3 linked regions of the Stegostoma tigrinum genome follow. The protein of the gene in region 2 interacts with the protein of the main gene of each other region in a biochemical or structural test. Links are inferred from orthologs where the notes say so. Each region holds a gene or a part of one and is shown on either strand. Other genes may lie near its edges. The genes, in order: phospholipase D1-like, ras-related protein Ral-A and exoc2.

Region 1 (7,173 bases), on a different chromosome or scaffold from region 2:
GCAGAGAAGGGAAGCTGCCATTCCTACTTTGTCTGGCGCTGCATGTAACTCCAGTAATGTGGTTAACTCTTGACTCTAATCTGGGCAATTAGGAACGGGCTATAAATGCTGGTCTAGGCAGTAACACCCACATCCTGTGATTGATCTTGTTAAAAATTAAACATGCCAAAGAAATGCCAATATTGCTTTAAAGAATTTCTTGCAATGAGCTATCACAGCCTGCCCCACACAGATCTGAATTTGAGTGCTAGTGCAGGATGTCTAACACAATGAACATTTCAAATATTCAGTACACATAAAACTCAGACTGTTTATTTTGGATTGTCACCCTCTAACTGCGATTGAGCCAAATCCCTGACGTGATATTTCATGAACAATACAAGTTGACAGCCTGAATGTGGAGCTCACAAATTTACACGTACCAAATGGAAAATTATACCATGAAGGATGAGGGAATGTATGCTGGAATACATTGAGGAATGCTGTAACAGCTTGTCACTTGATTCTGGGATGTTTATCAGGAGCAAAACACAAAACTTTTAGCTGAGATTTACTGTATAATATTTGTAATGCTTTCACTGACTTTGGGAGTAACACCTGCATAGATTTTAGCAGTAGAGCACCTCCCCTGTTAGATATGGTACTACCTATTAGATATGCTGTACCTTATCTGTTGGATATGGGATATTTCACCTGTTAGATATAGGATACCTCACTTGTTAGATAGGGATACCTGTCTTGTCAGTCATTGTGCACCTCAATTTTAGACTTGAGGAAATTTATCTATTAGCAATGGCAATGGGACACCTCACTTAATAGCCATGGAAGCCTCACATGTTGGCAGTGACATTGGATATCATACCAGACAAACTCTGGAACGTACTCATAACAAAGCTCTGTGCATAGTGGTACTCAGCTTCACCTGCTTCATTTGTTATATCCACTTCCTTTTCATTCAATCACACAAGGTGAGGATCATTATCACTTGTTGTCCTTCCTCATTATTTTTGAGAAAGTGGTGTTGACTTCTTAAGGTTGGAAAATCAGAGAGTCATTTAGAGCACAGAGGGAGGCCATTCAGTCCATCAGGTCCATGCCAGCTCACCACAGAGAGATCCAACTTTCCAATTCTATTCTTGTAATCCTGTAGGCTCATTTCTTTCAAATGCCAGTCAATTTGCTCTTGAAAATATCTTTATGGGCAATGAATCATAGCCCATTATCACTCATTGTGTAAAATAGCTTTTCCTCCCATTGTCTCTGAATCTCTTGACCAACGACTTAATTTTGTGTCACCTAGTCCTTGCATGGGAACATCTACAGTACATCTGGGGTAGATGCACTGTCAGTGTCCAACAAAGGAGGTCCTAAAATTTCAACCTAAAGTTCCAAGGCAAGAGGGTTGGATGGAATGGTTGGTAGTCATGATCCCAAGGATCAGCTACTCTTTGTGGTTTATGGGTGTAGTGACGGGTTTGGAGGCTGAAGTCAAAGGAGCCTTGAGAAGATGCTTATTGTCAGGAAATTAGTAAGCCTGAAGATTGGGAGCATTTTAGAATTCAGCAAAGAAGGTATAGGGAACTGATAAAGAAAGGGAAAATGGAATATGAATGTAAAATAGCAAGAGGCTCCCTTCTGGCACAGTGGTAGTGACCCTCTCACTGGACCAGGAGGCCCAGGTTCAAGTCCCACCTGCTCTAGAGGTCTATAATGACAGGTCTGAACAGTTTGATTAGAAAAATAGGTATTAAAATTGTATTTCTCTTCACAGTAGAAATTACAAAACTCTCCCAGAGATTATCAGAGTCAGAAGACTAGGACAAATGAGGAACTAAAAGAACTCAGTATTCATAAAGAATGACCAATAAACATAATGAGACTGAAAGTTAACAAGTCACCAGAACCTGATCATTTCATTATTGACATTTTCACATGTTAAGCAACAAGGGAGGGAGAATATGGGAACTACAGACCTGTAAATCTGATGTCAGCAGTAAAGAACATACCGTGATTAGTTATAAAGCTTATGATAATTGCACAATAAGAAAATGCTAACCAGTTCCAGCAGAGTCCACATGGACGTATAAAGTAGAAATCACATTTTACAAACATATTCGCTTTTCGGGGGATATTACTGTTATATATAAAAACGCTTAATATCTGTGCTTTGAAGACACTTTATATTTAATATTGCTAACAGGCATTAAGTTCTGCAGGAATGTGGAAAATTCATTTATTTCAAGTTTTGTGCAAAAACCTGAATTTATTTATTTGAAAGAGGTCATTGAAAGTTCACTGCGGACATTAAACTAAAAGTTTCCTGTAAGTCATGTGACTGGTGATAGCTACATGCTTTTGCTGTTGACTTCTGCTTGAGTTGGTTTGAGAAGTGTTGAGAACAGTGATTGACTTGGAGAGGTTTTGTCTAATCTCCATGAAATCTCATGGCATCAAGTCAAACAAGGGGAAGGAAACTCCTGTGGGTTAATATGCATCATCCTCCCTCAACTGATGAATCAGTGCTCCTTCACATTCAACACCACTTGGAAGATGCACTATGCATGTCAAAGGTGCAGAATGTAGTGGGTGGGTTCAATGTCTATCACTGAGTCATTTGGCAGCGTCACTACTGTCTGAACTGGTCAAGTCCTAAAGGACATAGCTGTTAGACTGAGTCTGCAGCAGGTGCTGAAGAAACCAATTTGAGGGAAATGTACACTTAACCACATCCTCATCAATCTGTCTAGTGCAGCTGCATCTGCCCATGGCAGTCACAGCAAGAGTGACCAACAAATGGTCCTTGTGGAGGCTAAGTCCTGCCTTCACATTGAGAACATTCTCCATTCTATTGTGTGGCATTATAAGTGGTAAATAGGGCATGTTACATATTCAACCAAAGCATTTAACTTCATAGTCTATCATAGCTACCCTGACCATCACCCTGCAAGGTCAGCCTGGTTGAATGCAGGAGGGCATGCCAGGAGCAGTACCAGACAAACCTACAAATGAGGTTTCAAACTAGACAAGTCACAATACAGGATTACCTGCATGCCAAAGAGCAGAGTCAGCATGCAACAGACAGGGCTAAGTGTACTTACAATCAAAGGATCAGACTTAGGCTCTGTAGGCCTGCCACATCCAGTTGTGGACAATTAAATAACTCACCAGAGGTGGAGACACTGCAAAAGAACAAAAACAAGTCTTTAATGTATTCAAGCAGGGAGTGCAACAGCTAATATATATATATATGACCTGTGGAATCCACAGTCATAAAATAAGCTTGGTAGCTCAGAGATTAGAACTGCTGCCTCACAGCGCCAGGGATCTGGGTTCGATTCCAGCCTCATGCAACTGTCTACGTTGAGTTTGCACATTTTCATCATGTCTGCATGGGTTTTCTTTGGGCACATCGGTTCCTCCCTCTGTCCAAAGATGTGTCAGTTAGGTGGATTGGTCACGCTATGTTGCCCATGGCATCTGGAGATGTGCAGGCTAGATGGATTAGCCGTGGGAAATACAGGGTTACTGGAATAGGGTAGGGGAGGTCGGTCTGGGTGGGTTACTCTTCAGAGGAGCGGTGCAGACTCAATGGACCAAATAGCCTGCTCCCACACCGTAGAGATTCTAAAGTATGAAGCACTTGTACTGGAAGTCTATGAACCACTGCAATCTGTGATTACACAATACCCTCCACTCCAGGTTACTGCTGGAAATCAGAAGGACTCCTCCGCAACCAAAACCCAGCAGCAAAACAGAGTGCTGACGTGTGTCTGGATAGTGGATAACAATGCTTTTCGCTTTCTTGTTCTTTAAAATCTTTTATACAGTGCTGAAGGTTTTTTTTTATCACCACCAAATCACCTGATGAACCTAGCATCTTTTCAGTGAACTTATTACACATCTCTGGTGTGATTGTCATTGTGAACCCAGGTCTCCTGGCCCAGAGATAGGGGCATTACCACCATATCACAAGACGATTAAGAGGACAATTTTGGGGCATGTTGTAAACACACACACACACACACACACACACACACACACACACACACACACACACACACACACACACACAAAAGTTGTGGCAGATAGATTCCAAAAAATTCTGCCCAGGAATCCTCTATGAGTGCTAACAATTATTTCTGGTGGGTTTTCAGCTCACTTGTTCTGTGGAGAAGTGTTGCAAAGAGAGAGTGGGCTTTTGCTCTTCAAGTTGTTCAACTTTTCTGTGACTGAGTTCAAAAATTATTACACTCACAAACTAGTCATATGACCTGTCCCTGAAAGTTCAGACTGTGCAATCGCATCCAAGTACTTTGCTCCTTGAAAGTGCATCAGGGAGTTGGACCAGTGCCTTTTCCCTGAGCAAAGTGCCCTTTGATTAAAAGTTGAAAACATATTTATATGGGCCCACCTAATCTTTCAAAAAATTATACTCAGATCACAACCCTTCACAGCAATATGTATGAGGTTCTGAAACAAATTGGTGCAAGGCATTACTTGGCTCACTGCAGCAGATCCTATCAAACCTGAGTACGCAGACTTTCACCTGTCTGAGATGACACACAGTTTCACTCCTTGAACCAGGTCCAAAGTGCAGCTTATGAAAACATAATAAAGCAACGGCCATTGCAAAATTCTGCACGACACAGACTTCAATTAAAAGGAACAAAGACCTGTATTAATTAAGCTTCATTCGTTTCCTAACCACAGGATGTCCCAAACCCTTCTCAGCCAATGACATTCTTTTGAAGTGCTATTACTGTAGTTGGCAAGGAGTTAGCTGTAGTTTCAGTCGACACCAGTTTCTTGTGAGATATGTTAAAGGTTTTCACCACTTTCAACAAAAACACCACAACAGCCATGTGTTTACACTGAGACACTTTGGTAAAGTAAACAAGGTGCTCCTTTTAAGAAATAATGTGACTATGTCACATAGACAGATATTCACTCAGGTGACCAAAAGCTTGTTTAAAGAGATAAATTTAAAGGTGTTTCTTCAAGGATGAGTGAAAGGAAGAGTGGTGGAAAAGTTAAGGGCAAGAATTCCAGAGCTCAGAGAAAGCACCGATACCAATGGTGGAATGATTAATATCATTGTTCAAAAAGGTCTCAAATTCCCTCCATAAAACTCACTGCCTCCTTACCGCACCACCTTCTATTTAGCCTCTCCTTAAAACATACCCCTTTGAACAAGTTTTTGGTCACCTGTCCTCATATTTCCTTAAATGACTTGATGACACCTATTGTCAATAATTGATCCAGCTTGAGGTGCTCTGGGAGAGTTTCCAGCATCACAGAGGTGTTATGGCACAGAAGAAGGCCATTCAGCCTATTGTGTCTGCATCAATGCCCTCTCATATGTCTCAATGCAATCTGCATCCACCACACTTCCAGGCAGTGCATTTGCTATCCTAACGCCTTGCTGTGCGAAATGGTCTTTTTTTCCTCACATCCCATTTGCTCCGTTAGCAAATCACTTAAAATCCATGCCCATTGTTTCTTGTTCATCACCCAAGCAGGAGCAGTTCCTTCCAATATACTCTATCCAGCCCACTCATGACTTTGAACACCTTTATCAAATCTTTTCTTAGCCTTCTTCTCTCCAAGAAGAACAGTCTCAACCTCTCCAATCTATCCACAGAACTCAAGTTTCTAACCTTTGGAACTATTCTCATTAATCACTTCTGCACTGTCTCGAATGTGTTCATGTGCTTCTTTTAATATGGCATCCAAAAGAATAGAGAACATTCGTGAACCAGCTGGATTATTATAACAATTGAAGTAAGCTTCATGGTCACTTCTTCTAAGGTTATGTTTATGTTCGAGGTGTATTAAGTGTATTTAAAATCCATTTAAAGCGATTTTGGGATTTGAACCCATGAACATTAACCTGTAGTTCTAGATTTACATTCACAATATTGACTGCTATATCACGCCTCTCTCACAATGTAAAGGGTGGCATATTAACAGGGCACACAATGGCTCAGTGGTGAGCATTGCTGATTCTCAGTGCCAGGGATCTGGGTTTGATTCCAGCCTCAGGTGACTGTCTGTGTGCAGTCTACACATTCACTCCATGTCTGTGTGAGTTTCCTCCCACATTTCAAATATGGGAAATGCTGGGTTAAAGGGTAGGATGATGGATCTGAGTGTGATGCTATTTGGAGGGTCCACACTGGGCCAAATGGTCTGAATCCGCACCGTAGGAATTCTAAGAAATGTAACTGTTGCCTTATTGAAGGATTATTATTTGGCCTTGTCTCAAAGCTTTGGACTTGAATGGGACATCTCAAAAACAAATTTTGAAGTTTTTCTTGATACCAGTATAAAATCAGCAGTTGTATGTTTTCCTTAATGAGTTAAGATCAAAAACTGAAAGTCATTTTCACAGCAGAAACAAGACTTCCAGAGATTGAGATCAGCAGTAGATCAAATACAGCTTCCGAAGCCCAGTGGACTTCTCTATATCCTGTGGGCAGGACTGTCACCTTAGCCCACATCCTTTTTGTTAAGATCCTTTCAAGCTGTCGGAATCTCCTATTAACCCTTCACTTACCATTTGAGGGCTGAGAAAAAGGAATTCTCACATAGCCGGCATTCCAGGGGAGGACAAAGAGAATGTGACAATGACACCATGAAGCTGTCCTCACAGGATGGCAGCGTCTGGGAGGAGTTCACCACCAATTCTCCACCAAGAAAAATCGCATTTGAGACACCACTCCTAAACATTGAGACAGAGCAGGAAAACGAAAGAAGCAAGTCCTGCAGTCCAGACTTTACTCTTCAGGCAATATCCTGCCCCCTCCGCCCAAAGATGTGTGAGTTGCAAAACGGCCTGTTCCCTCACATGCAGGCCCATGACCAAGAGAAGCCAGTATTGTCACACAGCCAGTGGTAGGTCCCAATATTGCTCCAACAACTCATTTATTTCATTTATAAATTAAATATTGGAAACTTCTCGGGTTTAATCCGCTGCATGTGGGATCTTGCCAACCTGAGTGAGTATAGAGAACACCTTTTCAGTAAAGAGCATCATTTTCATGAATACTTGACAATTTAAATATCCCATCACCACACCACATCATTGAGAAACAAATAAAAACATAAGAAGTAGGAACAGGTAAGGCCATTCAGCCCTTCAAACATGCTCCATCATTCATTGTAATCATGGCT
Region 2 (7,439 bases):
GCAGGAACACTGACGTTTCAGGCCTAGACAGGATCTTGTTATATTGGACTCCCCAGCATCTGTAGTTCCTATTATCTCTGGGTATAGGCCGTAGCAGCATTCTGGCTCTCATTGAACACAAACACTTCAGGAGTAGCCATATCCTCTAGCCAAGTTATTCCAGTACAGCTACAAACATTGGCACTGAACACAAGTTTAGGAATGTCTTTTCTAAGACACAGAACAATTTGACAAATTACTTTTAAATGCAAGATAGGTTGATTTAAGTGAACCATTTTGTTTCACTTTATTATAGAGAGGCTTTACACTTCAGGAAAAGAATCCCAAGATCTTTCCTGCTGTATGTGTTTGCATTTGGCTTCTGTGGTCTACGCTCCCAGCCAAAGTCATTAGAACAAGATATGTAAAATGACAGGAAAGAATTTTGCCAACTTTCAAACTCCTTTACTTGAACACCAAGTCTGGGACTAATGACACCGTTCTTGTTCAATCTGTCTGTGAAACTGACAGGTATTTTCCCACCTTCGTGGTCAATTATCTCAAATTCTCAAAGGCAGCCAAGCTTCACTACTACAAACTGGAATTGCACAAGTACTTCAGAGTACAGCCAGACGAGAACTTGGCATTTTCCACATTTCCCTGCATTGCTGTTACTGCTAAATGCATCAGCAAAAAGAAAAAAACTCCTGCACACCATCATGCCACTTGGCCAATTTCAGTGATGGGCAGTGTTAACAGGGTTACGAAGTGGATCTAATGTGGAAATAATCTGTTCCCTATCCAGTGGGACAAAATGAAAAAAATTGTGCTTATTGGAAAATAAGCACAATTGCTGAGGGGGTTCCTCAGTAGAATTCTACAACTATTCAGTTTACTTCAATGGTCATCCCTCCATTACAAAGATCAGAAGCAGGGATGTTTGCTGATGATTATAAAATACACACATCACAAGTTATCAGATAACTAAGCTGTGTCCACATACAGAAAGACCAGTATTTGACAAGTCATTTTATGCCCATACAGGTGCAAGTGTGTGCCATTTACAAAAATGCATTGCAGCAATTAACCAATGCTTGCTCAATGCACCTTCCAAATCTAACGAGAGGAACGGGCAACAGATACATGAAAACACGAACTGCAAGTCACCCTCCAAATTAAACACCATCCTGAGGTCAAACTATGTTGCTGATCCTTCACTATCATTGTGTCAACAGCCAGAAGCTGCTTCCCTACAACACTGTAGATGTATCTACACTGGGCAGACTGTAGCAGGTTCAAGTTAGCAACTCACCATCTCCTTCTCAAGGCCAACTAAAAACAGTCAATAGGTGGTGAACCTGACAGCAAGTTACATTTCATAATGTTTGGAACACCTTTTAAAATATGTCCATAACTGTTCCAGACCCAAAGAGAAGAACTAATTACCTGCTATTTACAGACAGAAGTCAGCTTGTACCTATTCTAGTAAGTCTCCCAAGGAAGACCTTGACATCCCTCAAAAAAAAATCCTCCAGAATTGGGCAATGCCAAAGGTGACTATCCAGTGACTTGAATAGAACTTTTTAAAAAAGCTTTTGTATTTTGGCAACTAAAGTAAAACTACAAAACCTGCACAATTTTGCATTTTATTTACTTTTCAGGGAGAAACCTGAATAATGCAAAAGGTAGAGAAATAAATTCTTATCCAGGGTTTTTTGGATAAGAATGTATCACATGCAGCTGTTCAATTAGTTAATCATAGCTTTTTAAAGGAACCTAATGGACAAAACAAAATAGCAAGCCATACAATCAGGGTATCATTGTTAATTCATTTCCCCTCAGTCAGAAACGTTGTGAAGTCAGTGCTTGGGCAAGAGGCTCTCAGTCAGGGCAGGACTGAAGAAATATTACATTCAAAAGAGCCACAGTTTATGCCTTCTAGTAACCATACATAGTTCTACTTATATCTTGGCTATTCATTCCAAAACTAAGTACAACTATTCAAATACAATTGATTTAATTGGACTCTACTGGATTTAAATGCCTACTTAAACTTTCTTCAAAGAACACTTCACTTCAGCCATATGGGTCTTCAAATAATAAAAACAACTTTCTTGACCCTCTTGGCATCCTAACATTATTTACAGTACAAGTAGTTTTAACATATAATCATTACTTCAATAAGTATATTGAATTGCCTTCTCATGGATGGTTAAACAAAAGGATACCCCCTCGTAGGCAAATAAACATTGAGCCAAATGGCCTCCAATTGTGCAAAGCATGCTGAGAATCAGTACAGATTAATATTAAATGTGAACTCTACACAATGGAGCTTCAAAGGGAAATGTGCAGCTGAGGAATGTTTAAACCTAAATGGTTAGGCTCCACTTTCAAACAGCACGTATTCAAACGACAAACTTCCAATTCAAAATCCCACAGGACCCAGTTATTGCAGGGTAAAAGAGGCCAAAGCATCATACCATCTCCTCGGACAGGATGGGGGCCTAAAGGGACTTCAGCAATATCCCCACCTTCTATGAGAAAGGTGGAAATCACACAATGATACCCCAAAGACGAAAAAGGGAAAGGAAACAGCCACATTATCAGAGATAATGGGAACTGCAGATGTTGGAGAATCCGAGATAAAAAAGTGTGGAGCTGGATGAACACAGCAGGCCAAGCAGCATCTTAGGAGCACAAAAGCTGACGTTTCGGGCCTAGACCCTTCATCAGAGAGGGGGATGGGGAGAGGATTCTGGAATAAATAGGGAGAGAGGGGGAGCCTCCACCCCAAAACAAAGGGGAAAGGGGGAGGGGTTTAAAACCAAACAATATCACCCCTCCATGAGTGGAAAAAAAAACAAACACACCCAATAGCACATCTCACCCAAACTGGAGAATGATCAGAGAACCATGTAATAGTGCTCTCCGGAGGGAGAAGAGGGAAAGGGGGGTCCCTCTTCTGTCCCGTCCCGCCTCGCCCCGAGGAGGGATCGCGCGCTGTGGGACCAACCGTCAGCTCGGAAACATTTCACGACCTCAGCCAGTGTCAAGACTTTAAAACACTCACCGGTCACCGCGTCGAAGAAGTGAGAAATCAACCACTGGTACTAAATGCAGATCGCTTACCAACCACCTCTCTACCGCCGCCCCGCCCGGCCGATCACTGTTAATATGGCGGAAGAGCGAGCGACGCTCGTCAGAAGGGCGGGGCGGGATTGGCGCGGCTACCGGAAATGGCGTGTAGCGCGCGACGTAAGTGTGGATGAACACTTCCGACACAATGGTGACTCCTGACTGGGATCATCAGGAGACTGGAGAGAGGCGTATGGTTGTGTTTTGTGGAGTGTATTTTTGGGAAAGTGACCTCGTTCCCTTCACATTAGATTTGTTTCACTTACGCTTATGAAAAACAGACTAGTTTCTGGCGGGGGTCAGCATCATCTGTGGTCCCAGCTAATCTTTTCATTTTCAATTTTTAACCAGCAACAGTTGATATTCTCTTCCACCATGAGATCTTCCATCTTCAACGGCGCAGACTAGTTTGTTTACTGTTAAGATATACCCTGCCTTTTCCTAATGACATTCAGCAGATTGCTTTGTTGACTCTTCTGAAAGCTTCAATGTCTATTACTTTTTTTCTGCTTTGGTTGGACAGGACTGGCAGTTTAATGTTCCAGGGTGTAGATGTTATAGGAGGGATTGAAAGGGGAGCAGGGGGGCATGGTGTTGATTAGGGGTAACATTATGGCTGTACTGAGAGAGGATATTCCTGGGCATATGTCTAGGGAAGATGTTTGGGTGGAATTGAGAAATAAGAAATGGATGATCGCCTCATTGGGATTGTACAATGGACCTAACCGCCCCCCCCCCCCCCCCCCCGCACCCAGTAGTCAGGAGATCTCAGTTATCTGTGAGAATAATAGCATGGTTATGGCAGGGGATTTAAATTTTCCAAACAAAGACTGCCATTGTGTTAAGGGCTTAGATGGAGAGGAATTTATTAAAAGTGTACAAGAACGTTTCTGATTCAGTATGTGGATGAACCTATTGGAGAAGGTGCAGACTCTGACCTACCTTTGGGAACTAAGGCAGGGCAGGTGACCATAATTGTATTGGATTTAAAATAGCGATAGAAAAGGATAGACCGGGTCTAAAAGTTAAAGTTCTAAACTGGAGGAAGGCCAATTTTGGCAATATTAGGCAAGGACCTTCAAAGGTTCATTGGGGGCAGATGTTCACAGGTAAGGAGACTGCTGGAAAATGGGAACTGTCAAAAATGAGATAACGAAACTCCAAAGACTGATGTCCATTTCAAGCCCACCGACTCCCACAGCACGTGGAACAGTCCCGCTTCCGCACCTACACAGGCCCCAAACCCCACCTCTTCCTCCGTTACATTGATGACTGTATCGGTGCCGCCTCTTGCTCCCCAGAGGAGCTCGAACAGTTCATCCACTTCACCAACACCTTCCATCCCAACCTCAAGTTCACCTGGGCCATCTCCAACACATCCCTCACCTTCATGGACCTCTCAGTCTCCATCTCAGGCAACCAGCTTGTAACTGATGTCCATTTCAAGCCCACCAACTCCCACAGCTACCTAGAATACACTTCCTCTCACCCACCCTCCTGCAAAAATTCCATCCCCTATTCTCAATTCCTCTGCCTCCGCTGCATCTGCTCCCAGGATGAGGCATTCTACTCCCACACATCCCAGATGTCCAAGTTCTTCAAGGACCACAACTTGCCCCCCACAGTGGTCGAGAACGCCCTTGACCGTGTCTCCCCCATTTCCCGCAACACATCCCTCACACCCCGCCCCTGCCACAACCGCCCAAAGAGGATCTCCCTTGTTCCCACACACCACCCCATCAACCTCCGGATACAACGCATCATCCTCCGACACTTCCGCCATCTACAATCCGACCCCACCACCCAAGACATTTTTCCATCCCCACCCTTGTCTGCCTTCCAGAGAGACCACTATCTCCGTGACTCCCTTGTTCGCTCCACACTGCCCTCCATCCCCACCACACCCAGCACTTTCCCCTGCAACCGCAGGAAGTGCTACACTTGCCCCCACACCTCCTCCCTCACCCCCATCCAGGCCCCAAGATGACTCTCTATTAAGCAGAGGTTCACCTGCACATCTGCCAATGTGGTATACTGTATCCATTGTACCCGGTGTAGCTTCCTCTACATTGGGGAAACCAAGCGGAGGCTTGGGGACCGCTTTGCAGAACACCTCCGCTCGGTTTGCAATAAACAACTGCACCTCCCAGTCGCGAACCATTTTAACTCCCCCTCCCATTCTTTAGATGACATGTCCATCATGGGCCTCCTGCAGTGCCACATTGATGCCACCTGAAGGTTGCAGGAACAGCAACTCATATTCCGCTTGGGAACCCTGCAGCCCAATGGTATCAATGTGAACTTCACCAGCTTCAAAATCTCCCCTTCCCCCACCGCATCCCAAAACCAGCCCAGTTCGTCCCCTCCCCCCACTGCATCACACAACTAGCCCAGCTCATCCCCTCCCCCCACTGCATCGCGAAACCAGCCCAGCCTGTCTCTGCCTCCCTAACCTGTTCTTCCTCTCACCCATCCCTTCCTCCCACCTCAAGCTCCACCTCCATTTCCTGCCTACTAACCTCATCCCACCTCCTTGACCTGTCCGTCTTCCCTGGACTGACCAATCCCCTCCCTACCTCCCCACCTATACTCTCCTCTCCACTTATCTTCTTTTCTCTACATCTTCAGTCCGCCTCCCCCTCTGTCCCTATTTATTCCAGAACCCTCACCCCATCCCCCTCTCTGAAGAAGGGTCTAGGCCCGAAACGTCAGCTTTTGTGCTCCTGAGATGCAGCTTGGCCTGCTGTGTTCATCCAGCTTCACACTTTATTATTCAGAGACAGTATATTCCTGTTAGGGTGAAGGGCAATGCTGTAGCTGTATGGAATGCTAGATGTCAGAGAAAATTGAGTTTTGGTCAAGAAAAAGAAGGAAGCATATGTCAGATATAGACAGCAGAAATTCAGTGGATCCCTAGAAGAGTACAAAGGCACTAAGAGTATATATAAGAGGGAAATCAGGGAGGCAAAAAGGGACATGAAATAGCTTTGACAAATAAGGAGAATCCAAAGATATTCTACAAATACATTAAGGACAAAGGGTAACTAGAGACAGAATAGGGACCCTTATGATCAGCAAGGCCACCAATGTGTGCAACTGCAGGAGATAGAACATAGAACAGTACAGCACAGAACAGGCCCTTCAGCCCACGATGTTGTGCCGACCATTGATCCTCATGTGTGCACCCTCAAGTTTCTGTGACCATATGCATGCCCAGCAGTCTCTTAAATGTCCCCAGTGACCTTGCTTCTACAACTGCTGCTGGCAACGCATTCCATGCTCTCACAACTCTCTGTGTAAAGAATCCGCCTTTGACATCTCCTCTATACTTTCCTTCAACCAGCTTAAAACTATGACCCCTCGTGATAGCCACTTCTGCCCTGGGAAATAGTCTCTGGCTATCAACTCTATCTATGCCTCTCATTATCTTGTATACCTCAATTAGGTCTCCTCTCCTCCTCCTTTTCTCCAACGAGAAAAGTCCGAGCTCAGTTAACCTCTCTTCATAAGATAAGCCCTCCAGTCCAGGCAGCATCCTGGTAAACCTCCTCTGAACCCTCTCCAAAGCATTCACATCTTTCCTATAATAGGGCGACCAGAACTGGAGATGGGGGAGATAATAGCGAGGAGGCTATGGCCTAAAGGTATTATTGCTTGTCTGTTAACCCAGAGACCCAGATAATGTTCTGATGATCTGGGTTCAGATCCCTCCATGGCAGATGGTGGAATTTAAATTCAGTAAAATATCTGGAATTAAGAATCTACTGATGACCATGAATCCATTGTCAATTGTCTGGGGAAAAACCCATCTGGTTTGCAACTGTCCTTTAGGGAAGGAACCACCATCCTTACCTGGTCTGACCTACATGTGACTCCAGACCCATACCAATGTGGTTGACTCTGAACTGCCTTCTGGGCAAATAGGGATGGACAATAAATGCTGACCTGTCAGTGAGGCTCTCACCCCATGAATGAATAAAAGAAACTAAACAGGTATTTTGCATCAGTGTTAACAGTGGAGAAGGGTATAGAATATAGAGAACAGGGGGAAATAAATAGTGACATCTTGAAAAATGTTCATATTACAGAGGAGGAGGTGCTGAACATCTTAAAATAAAAATGGATAAATCTCCAGGGTCTAGTGAAGTGTAGCCTAGAACTCTGTGAGAAGCTAGGGAAGTGATTGCTGGGCCACTTGCTGAGATATTTGTATCATCGAAAGCCGCAGGTGAGGTGTCGCATGCCTGGTGGTTGGCTAATATTGTGCCACTATTAAAGAAAGGTAGTAAGGAAAAGTTAGGGAGTTATCAATCATTGAGCCTGAC
Region 3 (7,362 bases), on a different chromosome or scaffold from region 2:
AAGTCCAATGTGAGTACAGTTACAAATAGTATGACTCCACTTGAGAATAGCCAGGGAGTGGAATGGAACCCGAAGCTGGAGGACAGCAGTTGGGGCTGTGTAGTGATTGGGAAATAGGTTGACATCATTAACAAGGTTCTTCATTGGGGTTATTAACCTGGGCCAATCAGAAAAGATTTAGCTGACCGATATAATCAGGAGATTATAATCTCCTCAATTGAGGATTGACTCAGAGCTGGCTCACTACAGCCAGTGGTACTGTTGTACAGGTAAAATGAAAGGGTAACGTGGTAACAGGACCCAGACTTTGTGACACAAGTTTCAGTGTATGGGTCCAAGATTGAGCTTTCATGTGCTGGACTTTGCCTTCCTGTTTAGAATATGCTTTTGTGTATGCATCATGCCTTTGTATCTTGCTGGTCCATGTGCAGGCCAACCGATAGCCCTAGAATGCGCGCTTATCTATAACATTCTGTACTATTGTTTGAAATGAGATGTTTCTATACGATATTCTAATTCCATGTCTTTGCTCTTTAGCAGCTTGCCTTGATGCATAGGAACTTTGCCACGTATCGTGTTTGATACTCCGTAACCTTATGTGGACTTGAATGTATGTCTACTTGTAATATTTTGTACTACTGTTGCAAATAAGATGTGTTTCTATACGACGTTCTACGTCAACGTCTCTGCTCTTCGACAAAATTTCTTGTTGCCTAGTGACTTTGCCACATGGTGTGTTTAAGTCACTAACTTAATGTGGACTTTGGATTTACTGTTTAAATTCAGATGTCATTGTTTAGGACGTTCTATCCTAAATGTCTCTGCTCTTTGGCAACTTATTTTTATGTATAGTGACTGATGCTATGTAATGTGTTTATGACACTGTATCTTTCTGGTTTTTGAATTTACAAAAAAAAAGCCAGAAAAGAAAATAACCAGGGGCTTGGAATCTTCCCAATTGAGGACTGACTCCGAACTAACTGGCCGCAGCCAGTGGACTATGCAAGAGCAAATAAAAGGGGATTTGGTGATGGCACGCGACTTCTCTGCAGTTATTTCAGGCTGAGTGGAAGACAATAATTAAAGTCTTTTCAACATTCAGTTTGAAAATAAAAAGTTCTACTGAAAGTACTGGATATCATATCATCAGAAAATTTCAAGACAGCAGATGGTAAAAGAGGAAGTGAAGCTGTGTTTTGCCAATGTATATGCAGGAATCTAACACTGTACTTTCACAGAATGTCACAGAGGGGCAGCAAGAGAATAAGAGCAGACCTAGCATAGGTCATTGTTACCTCAGGCTAGCAATGTCAGAATGAGAAAGTAGCCATCGCAGATAATTTTCTGATTATGACTAGATAGATATGTGCAGCCTTTCTAAGTTGGACAACGATAAGCCTATACTTCAACAGTTAACCAGTTTAAAAATTGTAGGGAAAGAGACACTAAAATCATTTCACACAAAAGTTCTTTAGGGGGAATATCCAAAGCCCATTCAACTTTGCTGCTTCCCTCGACCATAAGACTGGCGAGTTGAAAACCACCAAATTAGTCAACTAACAAACATTTCATTTAGCTATCATTAGTATAAAGATTAAAAATTGACTGCTGAAGGTAAATATCATGTCCTCAGATAAAACACGCTATCATTCGCAACTCCTCAGCCTCTGAATGCAACAGGACATGGACATATTCCACAGTTGGGCTGAGAAGTGGCAAGTAACATTTGCACCAGAAATATGCCTAGACAATGCGCATCATCAACAGAGAATCTAACCATCACGCTTCAACATTCAATGGCATTATCATCACTGAATTCTGCACTGCCATCTTGGGGAGTTACCATTGACCAGAGCTGAACTGGGCCAGCAATATAAATATTACGGCTACAACAGCAAGTCAGAGTGAATTTTAAAAAAGTCTTTCCACAGTATATCATAGATTCATCAAATTACAAGAAAAAAATCTGGCTGTTGGCACACATCATGCGTATGTATCAACTTACTAACCACATCTTTTCCCAAACAAGCCAATTATTTCTCGAGGTTGAAAACTACCTGGAGATCTCAATATCTGGACAGACATTTTTTGTGTTCAGCTTAAAAAAATCTTTTAAATTTCCTTTTGTAGCAGGTACAAATTGTGTTTTTTAGATTTATAGCTTCCAACTGACTGGCAAGCTGAAAACCACCAAATTAGTCAACTAACAAACATTTCATTTCGCTACCATTAGTCTAAAGATTAAAAATCGACTGCTCATGGCAAATATCGCGTCCTCAGATAAAACACGGTACATTTTCATGACAGCATTAATCACCTAACAACCAAGAGGATCTTGAATATGAACACTTGTTCCACAATGCTATGCCATGCCTAACCCGTGAAGCCTAAGATGACTCCATTCACTTTTATGATGAATGGACTCTAACTTCAAATAATGCTGACCATGCTAATGTTGATCTTGCCCAGCGCACGCTCAGATTGAAAAGAATAAGCTGGATCACCACGCGTTTCGAGACTATTTCTCTACTCATCACAACTGTTCCCGCACCAGTTGAGGTGACCATGAAGACCCCACCTTTTCCAGCTCGCCCTTTGTCTAAAGTGTGGTAACCCTCAAGTTAAACCACCAGCGGTCGTCTTTTCTATGGTTTGGTAGGACTATGGCAATTTTACTGTTCGCGGTGGCCTGGCTTAATCAAATAAATAGTCGGACAGTGAAATCAATCAACTGCGGCGATCAGAGCATCAAACAAGGTGAACTTTAACAAGATGAAACGAACCTGTCAAACCACCTGGGCAAAACAAAAACGGCCTGTTTTAATCGGACTTGAGCTTCTTGCGGTGAGGACCTGGGGCTGCAGCGGTGCAACACCAAAGGTCAGGGACGACCTTAACCCAGAGGCGGCCCAGCCTCCACCTCAGTCCCGGAGGAGCCCACCCAGTCAGGGCGAGCCCCACCGGGGCTTGGATTACACCGGACCAGACCGGTAACTGCCGGCAACCAGGGTGCAATGGAGACCGAGCGCTTTTCCCGTTCGTTCGTTCACTCACTCACTCAGTCAGTCAGTCAGTCAATCGTTCGCCCCACCGATCTCACCCGCACTGCTCCATCACCGGCCACGCAAAACAACATCCGGGTCAAGCTGTAAACCACCGCCGGGGGAAGGGGAAATGGGTGTAACGGGTAGGTCACGTGACCACCTCCTCCGTTGCGGCGTGGATGAGGTCCGCATCTTGTTGCCAGGGCGTTCGTGCTGGCTGGCGAGTGTGGTGTAGTCGTTAGTCTCCTTGCTTTGCCGTGCTTGAGGCTGTTGGTGCAAGTCTTCGTTTTGGAACTCAGGCACTAAATGCTGGTGCAGTGCTGCAGGGGAGTGAATCTGTCAGAGCTTTCTGTGTCAGACACTAGGAGGAAAATCATGCGATGGAAGCAAAAATAACCATCACTGGACCTGATCAACTCTTACTTTCTCTCCATAGACCGGCTGTGCATCGTACCCCTCAGCAATTTCTGTTTTTGTGTGTGTGTCTGATTTCCAGCATCTGCAGCTTATTCTTGTCCACTATTGAAAGGTCTGTCCCTACCCTTCAATGCACCCCACCCTCGCTAATTGTAGAGTAATGCCACAGAAATGTCGGCATGTTCAAGCATCACTCAATCATGATATTTTTTTCTGGGGCGGATAAAGCTAAATGCTTACCCGAATTCAATCATTGCCTTGCCTTGTGCCAAATACAAACTTATAGGCATCCATGAAAGATGATATCCCTGGATACACACCCTGGGTACCGAGGAGAAGCTACTTTGCTTCTACTGGGGTAACCGTAGCCTGCTCTCTCTTCATGGTTTTCATTTTTGCAGATTATGGTGTAAAAACAAATGGGACCCAAGACCAGGCAGTAAGAGCTGCCTGTATGCTCATTTAGATACATGATCCCAAGACCTGCCAATTGCTTCCTGCAGAAGTGCTGTGTTCCCTGCACTCAATGTACGAGCAAGGGTGGCTGCTGAGCACCCCTTGTCGAGTAAGCCATCAACCTAGAGTGTACATATGTTTTCTCCTACAAATACACACCATAGAAAACTTTTACCCAATATGATTCATGATCTGTGTGTGCCACCCATCTCAGTACCTGTTTACAGCATATTTATTTGCTTAAAATAATATTTCAAATTATCCAGATTGCTTTCAATAGTTATCTGGAGGTTGATGCTAAATGTAGGAGACAACTGGCTGTTCTACGAGGGCCTTTCAATCAGGTTTTCACCTAAAGATTTCATTTTCCCTCAGTTAAACGTAAAGCATCCCACTATTTTTTTCAAAGAAGAGTGACAGCATTCTCACCAGTGGCCAAGCCAATATAAGACAACAAGACATAGAAGCTGAAGTAGCCCAGTCAACCCTTCAAGTCCTCCTTTCAATTCATTTTCCTACCTTATTTCCAAAATCCTTGGTTGCCTTGCATCAAGAAATTCCATAGATTTACCACCCTCTGGGAGAATAAAATCTATCTAATTTCTGTCGTAAATGGGCAACGCTGAACACTAAGATTATGCACTCAGTTCCTTGACATTCCTACAAGGGGAAACAACTTGTGTGCATCTACCCTCGCAAGTCCTTTCTAATTCTTCTAAACTGCAATGAGTACAAGCCCAAGCTACTCCAGCTCACTTCATATGAAAATGTCTCCCTACACCAGATCAACCTGGGGAACCTTCTTTGGACTGCCTCCAATGCTAATATATCTTTCCTTACATAAAAGGCCTAAAAATATTCAAATTATAAACAGTTTCTTAAAAGAAGGAAAGAGAGACAGAGAAATTTATGGACAGATTCCCAGAGTTTTACTATGACCTGAGCAGCTGAAGGGGCTGCCAATAGTAGTGCTGGTAAATTTGTGAATATGTAAATTGAACAGGTATTTTATCACGTTGTATTGCTGATGGAAGTAACAAAGATATGAGGAAGCAAGGAAATGGGTAGACTTTGGAAACAATGATGGCTATTTTAAATTCAAGGTGTTGCTCAACCCAGTGTAAATCAGCTCCATCCGGGATAATGAAGGAGCAAGGCCTGTTGCAGTTTGGGACATTGGCTGCTGGCTTAGGATTTAAGTTTAAATGGAAGAGAATGAACATTGTGTACTGTAGAGGTAACAAAGGCATGTAAAAGACTTCTGCGGTATGTGACAATGCTATCAGTTTAAAAAGGTTATTTTGCTCTTAGTTTTTTTGAAGAGAGGTTGTAAAGGTAGAAGTACAGAAGAGACCAGGAAGTAACAGTTAGAAGGGTTATGGCCGATTACCCAGTTCACGTTTTTTTCTGAACTTTTTTCGCTGTGGCAGTCACAAAATGTTTTGATTAGCAGAGGGTTGCAAGCTTCAGTAAATTATTCTAAGCAGACTTTCTCTGGAATCTCTCTGGCTGTTGTTCCCTCCTGCCAGTGCGATCTGTGTTTGAATTTACCTTTTTGCCAAGGAGTGTGTTTATGCAATGTTACTATATTGGAACAGCTATTTGTTAAGTTACTGTATTGAGTATTTGGTTAAGTTTTCCTATATTTAAGTTATTCTAAATTCTACTTTCTTTTGTTCATGTTTTAACTGTAGTGTTTTAATAAATTGTGTTTTGCTTTAAGCCAAGTGGTTTGACCAGTTACATCACAGCTGGAACACCCACTTTACATCCACCTTTAAAATAAGGAAAAGTTAGGATCTAGGCTACCTTCTAAAATATTTTGAGGGGGTCTGGCCTGGTCCATAACAGGTTGGGGCCTCTTGTCAGGATAATTCTATAATTCCAGTTTGGCTTTAGGGTTGTTAGACTCAAAGGTGGGAAGTGGTAGGGGTTTGTGTCTTTTGTTTCAGGTGGTGAATTTGGTTGGTTCAAACAGTGCTTTGTGTGGTAATGCCTCTTTCAGTCACTAGGAGTTCTCCGGAGGTAGAAGAAGTTACTTTGGGAGATTCACAACAGGTGAGCAAGGCAAAGTTGTTGGAATTGGCAGACAAGCTGTATTTGGGGTTGTCTTTACAAGAAAAGGAGAGATCATTACAGCAACAGCTTGATATTTAAGTTTGCAGGAAATGTCATTGGAATCTTTGGAAATGGCTAGAATTCAATTGCAGATGAAGCAGCTTGAACTGAAATAATTTGAATTATGGTTGAAAACAGAAGAAAGAGAAAAGGAAAGAATCACTCTGGCAGAACAAATAGAAAAGGAGAGAAAGGCTCTAGTAGAAGAAAGAGAGAGAGTTTGAACTTTAGAAGTTGGCAGTTAGACAGGAAACTTGACATAGAAAGATGGAGGTGAAGGTAGCAGGTAGGCTTAGTGAGGAAGGTAGTGACGTGGAGCAAACCCATTGTAGCCAAAGGCCTGGTGGGAAATATGTTTAAATATATCCAAGCATTGCTTGAATTTGACGAGAAGAATGTAGAAGCCTTTCTCATCTCATTTGAGAAAGTGGTTAAACAAACAAAGTGGCCAATGACCATGTGGGCTTTAATGCAAACAAAGTTGGTAGGTGAAACAAAAGAGGTATGTGTGAAATATGTACAAGCTTATGAATATCACTTTTAGGTGTTGGATTTTAAGATAGTGACCTCCTTTTATGAAGTTTTTTTTGAAGAAAGTTAGTTGAGGCAGTGTTTTTTGAACAGTGATCTAATCCAGTGTGTGTCAGAGAGCAGGAATGCCGTGAAGAGTTGATGGAAAATTGTTTGTACTGGGGTGGTTTACGGCAGGTAGAGTAATCACTGAAGGCATTGAAGCTTGTTTTCAGTTTAGGATAATCAAGGATTGATTTTTGTTTCAGAAAACCCAGACATTAAAGGCAGAATCTTCCCAGTTCCTGAAAGTCAGGGCATTGACAAGAATTTTGAGTAAAGCAGGTGAGATAGGCAGTGATGAGATCCACAATGTCAGCAGGAAAATGTCTGATCCTCCAACAATTGTCTCTAACCTTCCTATACATTGTAGAGCCTTTTGTGCTACATGCCATTTCCCTCAGAGGAACAAGGTGCAGTTTTGCTGCAGATTGAGGATATCTCAGGATACTGTCACAGAACTATGACAAATGTGGGAATTGAAGCTGCAGCACTTTTTTCTTAATATATTCACAGAATTAAGGCATTTCTGGCTGGGCTTGCAGTTATTGTCCAGACAGCAGTGAAGAGCCAACCACATTACAGTGAGTCTGGAGTTATATGTAGGCTAGACCAGGTAAGGATGGCAGTTTCCTTCCCTGAAGGGCATTAGTGAACCAGATAGGTTCAACGATTGACAATGGATTCATGATCATCGTTAGACTCTAAAATCCAGATTTTTTTTATTGAATAAGAACTCCACCATCTGCCGTGGGAG

Evidence for each region.
Region 1: the proteins of ras-related protein Ral-A (region 2) and phospholipase D1-like form a complex in vitro, tested with the Homo sapiens proteins (2 studies listed by BioGRID). The link is inferred for Stegostoma tigrinum from reciprocal best matches to the Homo sapiens genes RALA and PLD1.
Region 3: the proteins of ras-related protein Ral-A (region 2) and exoc2 are reported together in a solved structure, tested with the Homo sapiens proteins (2 studies listed by BioGRID, with this or other methods). The link is inferred for Stegostoma tigrinum from reciprocal best matches to the Homo sapiens genes RALA and EXOC2.

The regions. Positions count from the first base shown.
Region 1 is NC_081367.1:57,537,484-57,544,656, forward strand, and holds the start of phospholipase D1-like, read right to left. Parts: upstream 3,118-7,173; 5' UTR 3,099-3,117; intron 1-3,098. UniProt on the Homo sapiens protein: Function as phospholipase selective for phosphatidylcholine. Implicated as a critical step in numerous cellular pathways, including signal transduction, membrane trafficking, and the regulation of mitosis.
Region 2 is NC_081358.1:10,034,655-10,042,093, forward strand, and holds the start of ras-related protein Ral-A, read right to left. Parts: upstream 3,183-7,439; 5' UTR 3,050-3,182; intron 1-3,049. UniProt on the Homo sapiens protein: Multifunctional GTPase involved in a variety of cellular processes including gene expression, cell migration, cell proliferation, oncogenic transformation and membrane trafficking.
Region 3 is NC_081355.1:15,617,988-15,625,349, reverse strand, and holds the start of exoc2 (exocyst complex component 2), read right to left. Parts: upstream 3,158-7,362; 5' UTR 3,101-3,157; exon of another isoform or gene 3,059-3,100; intron 3,012-3,058; exon of another isoform or gene 2,784-3,011; intron 1-2,783. UniProt on the Homo sapiens protein: Component of the exocyst complex involved in the docking of exocytic vesicles with fusion sites on the plasma membrane.